2 linked regions of the Danio rerio genome follow. The main gene of each other region encodes a partner of the protein of the gene in region 2 in a complex. Links are inferred from orthologs where the notes say so. Each region holds a gene or a part of one and is shown on either strand. Other genes may lie near its edges.

Evidence for each region. The genes of interacting proteins can lie anywhere in the genome.
Region 1: the proteins of paxip1 (region 2) and h2ax are in contact, whole or in part, in a crystal structure (PDB 3SQD), measured with the Homo sapiens proteins. The link is inferred for Danio rerio from reciprocal best matches to the Homo sapiens genes PAXIP1 and H2AX. Residues at the interface, in NP_031375.3 of Homo sapiens: Phe871, Thr872, Gly873, Phe874, Pro876, Lys907, Thr909, Arg910, Thr911, Val912, Lys913, Pro986, Glu1050, Leu1053; in NP_002096.1 of Homo sapiens: Gln138, Ser140, Gln141, Glu142, Tyr143.

Annotation. Positions count from the first base shown.
Region 1 is NC_133180.1:31,151,480-31,154,185, reverse strand, and holds h2ax (histone H2AX), read left to right. Parts: upstream 1-1,520; 5' UTR 1,521-1,563; coding exon 1,564-1,992; 3' UTR 1,993-2,137; downstream 2,138-2,706. UniProt on the Homo sapiens protein: Variant histone H2A which replaces conventional H2A in a subset of nucleosomes. Nucleosomes wrap and compact DNA into chromatin, limiting DNA accessibility to the cellular machineries which require DNA as a template.
Region 2 is NC_133177.1:32,875,806-32,879,394, forward strand, and holds part of paxip1 (PAX-interacting protein 1), read right to left. Parts: intron 3,229-3,589; coding exon 3,118-3,228; intron 1-3,117.

The sequences.
Region 1 (2,706 bases), on a different chromosome or scaffold from region 2:
TTAAACCGAACAGGCGCTGCCCCAGTAACACACAACCGCGTTTATTTAAAGTGAGCTGCAATAAAGGTCTTTTGCACGTCAAATACATAAAGTAGATTTTATTAGTGGTAGCTTTTTATTGTAATACTAAGCAGGAGGCTTTGTTGTTTTCTGGTAATGTAAGGTCAAATATAGGAGTAGTTCATACTCAAACCTCCTACTCAACGTGGTCACCATTCATTTTCATTTGATGGATATAAAGATGCTGTGGTAACTGAAGCTGGTTATCTGCATTAAACTCTTCATGTTGCACGAAACAGGATTGAAACCCCCAATCAAATATCATTTTGATGAACTGTCCCTTTAAAGAATCTCTCGCAGTATCTTCCCTTTTTAAGATGTCTAATAGACGTCTAAACAGTCCTCATGGCTAAATAAAGGGCTGTCAGTGAAACTCCAGTAGACGTCTAAAATAGGCCAAAACTAGACTAGTCATCAAATAAACAGAAATTAATGACTACATATATAAAGTCTGTCTATCTGACGACTAGTGTAGTTTTGACTAATCCAAGCTGTTTATGTTTAGATGTCTATTAGACGCCTATTAAACTAAAAAATAGTCTGCTGGGGTTCCCCACCCATACGACTCAATGCAATTCTCAGACTTTTGTTTTTCATTCCAAATAACCTGAACTTATAATAAAGGCAAGGGTGTTCTAACCAAAATAATAGCTACAGGAAAGCATTTTAGCAATTATACAGTGAATTGCAGGTCACGAGTCAATGGCTCAGCGCTTTATAGTCATTTTGGAGCATAAAGCCTGAAAAATGTATGAGCAAAATGTTGTGATGACAGCGAACAATCTGAAGTGAAGGTGCTGCTGCTGGGCCTTCTGAGGTATTCGGAGCTTTATATTGTTGTTCATTTGATGTTTAATTTATTCTGAATAAATTATTTTTGAAAAACCATTCCTCCTTTCTTATTTCCCATTATTAATCAGCTAAAAGTGAATTTATCTAAAATGCACACTGAATCACTTTAGTGTCACATCACGACAAAGTGATTTAATTCATTGTGCATTTTAAAGAAATCGCATACAAATCACATTTTAAAGACATTTACATTGAGTGAATTAAATCTATAAAATATTACGTCACAATAAGTGTACATGAGAGGGTTAAACAAATGAAAAAATTGGTTTTGCGTCAAACTGTGTTAAAATTCAGAGGGAATATGTTCAATTGGTTTGAACTTACCGCCGAAATGTGATTGAGGTAAAGAAAGACCAATACTAGCGCAGACGAACCAAGCGAATCAATCAGCTCTCGCATATTCAGATACACTCTGATTGGTTCGTTACTTTGCGCTGTTTATGCACTGCAAGTTCAAGCCAATGGGGGATTACATCCGCTCTGGTTTCACCACCGACAACCAATCAGGTCTGTACTTCCCTTCGCGCAACCAATCAAATGTGTGGGCGGGACTATGCTTTGAACGTTCAACCAGTCTTTAAATACTGCAGCAGTTTCACTGCCAATGTACTGATTTCTTGCACACGCGAAGAGTTAAGTAAGCCATTCAACATGTCTGGAAGAGGTAAAACCGGAGGAAAAGCCCGCGCTAAGGCTAAGACTCGCAGCTCCCGCGCCGGTCTTCAGTTCCCCGTCGGCCGTGTTCACCGTCTCCTTCGTAAAGGCAACTATGCTGAGCGAGTGGGCGCCGGTGCCCCCGTGTATCTGGCCGCCGTGCTCGAGTACCTGACTGCTGAGATCCTCGAGTTGGCGGGAAACGCCGCAAGAGACAACAAGAAGACTCGTATCATCCCTCGCCATCTCCAGTTGGCCGTCCGTAACGACGAGGAGCTGAACAAACTGCTCGGCGGAGTGACCATCGCACAGGGCGGTGTTCTGCCCAACATCCAGGCCGTGCTCCTGCCCAAGAAGACTGGCCAGGCTGCAGCCAGCTCCGGCAAATCTGGAAAGAAGGGATCTTCCCAGTCACAAGAGTATTAAATGTTGAACTGAGCTAATTCATCCAAAGGCCCTTTTAAGGGCCACCCAACTCTTCTGAAAAGAGCAATTTCCATGTGTCTGAATGTGATATAGCTTGTATTTTTGAGATGCATGCTTTGCTTATTAAATTGTCATTTTTTAATAATGTTAATGTTGGTGTTTTTTGAACCGATTTAGGCTAACTGTTATCACAATTTAAGAATTTACGTTACTTCAGTGTTTATTTCTTAACGGTACATTTTTTTTTTCTCATAATTAATTTATACGAGTTAATTTGGAAAACGGAAACTAGGTTTTCATAAACACAAGGTAAGGCAAAGTAATTCTCTGGTCTTTTTCATAATGTAAAAAGTCTTTATGTATGAGTGAACGATAGTGTGAGTCTTGTTTTCCAGTGTCAGCAAAAAACCAAAGAACTCATCAGGGGGTTGTTGATATACTTTATTATTTATAACACATTTTTTAATTCATTCTCATGTTGATTTGACAACACAATGTTGCTGGCCAAGTAATTGCTATAGTATAGCTGGTCAATTTCACATTTGGAAGGCACTTTACAACTTGCTACATAAATATAAAATATTAACACGAACTTAGACAGCTAATTTTGCCAGTAAAAATCTTACATGGTGCTAAAACACCCATAAAATCTTAGCACCTCAGTACTTTGATTATTACATGAATATTCTTCCAGTGATAAAAGGAAATGTGGGA
Region 2 (3,589 bases):
CACACATAGGGCTCAACCTGTGCAGTGCACATGTCCTTTTTAGTCTTGGATAGAAAGTGCCCTTCTAAAATGATCAAAAGTGCCCCCCCACCGCCCTTCAGAGAGAGAGAGAGAGAGAGAGAGAGAGAGAGTTTTAATTTTATTGCCATTTCAGCTTCTATGGCTATGTCATGGCAAAAAAAAAACAGATCAAGGTTACCACATTTTATGAATACCACTTTTCTATATTCTTAAAAAAAGTCCTAAAAAAAATTAAGTCATTAACAGAAATAAATAATACACAAGGTAAAATACATAAATAATAATAAAAATGATAATATATATGATAAAAATCTAAAACAGTTTTTTACGGTTTCCTTTTGATAAAAATTCTACAATTTTAGAAGGATTAACATTTTTAAAAATTTCACTTAGAGTCTCTCCAGTTAAAAATTGTTGTCTAAGAACATTAAAAATGGGGCATTCCACAAGAATATGTTTAACAGTTTGTTTTTTGTTGCAATAAAGGCATTATGGGGGTTCTTCTCCTTTGAGTAAATGTTCATGCGTGAGTCTTGTGCGTCCAATGCGGCATCTTCTATACACAATATCATCGTGTCTTGACTTAAAAAAAAAGTGATTTTTTTCCTATTTCTTGTTGAATTTAAAAAAAAGTTTATTTTCTGGGCACTGATTCCCGCGCGCGACAACACCGCTCCTGAGTACGCGTGTTCCCTACCACCCCGCGCTTAACAGTACGCGCGTGACAAAACCACTCTTCAGTATGCACCCGGCGGTGGCGGCGACGACGACGACGACAACGACGACGACGACAACAACAACCCCCACCTGCTCTTCAAAAATTTTATCCTGCACATGCCCTTTGGACAGTCTCTGCACGAGCATGATGGGGAGGATTGGGAGGCTATGATCAGTGAGGGCCGATGGAGGACACCGAGGTTACAACCCTACTCTTTACGAGAAGTGCTATGGGATTTTTAATGACCACAGAGACTCAGGACCTCGGTTTTATGTCTCAACCGAAAGACGGCGCTCACTGACAGTATAGTGTCCCCTTTACTTTTACTGGGGCATTAGGACTCACAGACCACAGGTCAAGCACCCCCTGCTAGCCTTACGAACACCACTTTCAACAGCAACCTAGTGGCCGGAAAACAGCTTTTTTTGTCCCACCAAAGCCTTAATTGATTAGAAATTGTGTAATTGTGTTGAATATATAATAATATTTAAACAGACCTGTCTCCAAAAGCAAATGCATGACCATCATTTTTGTGAGGTAAGCTTATTAACCAATAAAGTGAGTAAGGGTGTCACGATCTCGATTTTAAATCGAAATCGATCGAAATTTATGCTCAATTTCGATTATCGAATCATAAAATAGAATCGTCGATGCTGCCACGCCCCCATGTCAAGTCAGCTTGGCTTGCCAAGCGGGAAAAAAACACGCTTGTTAAAGAGCTTGTTAAACGGCAGACGCAGGAGACCTGTCGACAGAGCTTAAACCCTCTCCTCTTTCAATGAAGTCGCCGGTGTGGAAGCATTTTGGTTTCCAGTGAGTTATGTTGATAACGTTCGTGTTGTCGACAAAAAAAAAAAAAAAAAAGTTTTGCAAGCTCTGCAACGCACGTATTAGGGTTCGTCCAATAGACAACACCGGCATCGCGATCCTCTGCCCCGCCCCCGTTGCAAATCCGCTCATGAAAAGTACACACTCTGGCAGTGTTTACACTAATATGTCTTTGTTTTTAAATGGCATTTTAGAACGACAACGATTTGACATCCACAGTGGCGTGTAGCATTTCTGAGCAGCCCTCTTTCCTCACTACCGTTGAAAACGCACATCACGTGACCAAACACAGACACAGACGCACACACAGCCATGCGCTCAAGACAGCGGGTACAGGCAGTTAGCGGGTCAGTAGACTGCTTCAATCTTTCACTCACTTGTACTTAGTCATTTTAGCGCACACCTCAGATACTGTTGGCTGGTTCCTGTTGCATGTGCACCTTTTTTACCGCAGCCATTATAACGACACATATCAATGCCTATTCATGAGTCCCGTAGAAAAAAAGAGATTGACAGGTGGTAATTATGTGTGTAACTTGCCTTTATTCATTTACTGTATGATTTGTTTATGGGTAAAACAAAGACCATGCAGGTCAGGTAGTTTAAACTGTAGGCTACAAATAATTAATTTGTTATTAATTATTCATAACTGAAAATCGAATCGAACCGTCACTTTAGAATCGAAAATGTAATCGAATCGAGGATTTGGAGGATCGTGACACCCTTAAAAGTGAGCGGAGCTTAATTTCCTCAATCAGCAGAGCCCAAACCAGCTGCAGGTCACTCCCACATAAATAAGCAGGAGAGCAGACTGTGAGCGGACAAGAGTTCCCAGAGAACACAAACCAGAGAGCCAGAGAGAACACAAACTTAGGTTTGATTTGCTGATAAGTTTAGACAAATAGATAAATTAAAAATATGGTCAGCCAGCCAGCCAACAAGCTAGACCAATTATTTACATGCAAATAAGTTAATATACAACAACACAATGAACTACAACTACAATTTTTACATAGCTTTACATGCATTCTGAATTATCCATGGCCTCAAAGTCAAAGACAGAGCATCAAAGTCAAAACAGAGCATGAATCAGCACAGTAAATTGTTAAATTATACAGAATGTTTTTAACTCAGAGTTCAATTTAAAAAGGTTAGCATTCTCACCAAATATAACCAATGACATTTGTTTGGGTACCAATAGTTGCCAATAAATGGCAAGCTTTAAAAAGCTAGACGGTAAGAACGGTGGCTATAAAACTGATTCTTTTTAAAATGCACCATTCAGAGCCAATAAAACAAAACCAGCCTGCCAGTCCCACTCCACAACTGATCCAATAGCAAACAACCCACAGACGTAAACCTAGACAGAGTCTTGCAAATAGCAGCTGTTAAACGCACTCTATTACTTGTAAACTTTAAGCGATCTGCAAAATCTCACACCTTCCCCTTTTTTCTTCAGAAAGAGGATGAAGTTAAACACTGTGTTGATACACAGTGCCATATGCGTACTATGCATTTAATATTATAGGCACAAAAAAAAACATGCTTACCCCCTTTGGTTCAGGCACAACCAGATGCGTACACTTTTTGTTGAAATGGAGCTGACAGTCACCTCCATAGAATGTAATAAAGGCCCAAAGTGCGTTAAGATCCTCTGCCAGCTGTAATGAAAACAAGGCTTGTAAATCAATCCTGCTGCATGACAGTAGCTATATTTTCATACAAAGTGGCACATTTAATTTGTGTGCAAAATTGGCATATCACATAAAACAAATAAACCATTGTTTCCATCCAATAAGCTGAAGAGGACAAATATCATGAAGAAGAAATGAGAGTTACTACAATAGGAGAAGCCACTAAGGGTCTTTTTGCATATAAAATAACGTACCTGCTCTTCAGAGTATGCATATGAAATGGTGAATGCGGTTATGTGTTCGTCTGTTACTTTTATTGGATCATGTGAGACAGTTCTGTTCCAAGTCATTTAATGACAGACTATGGAACAGGCATTTCTGAATCATT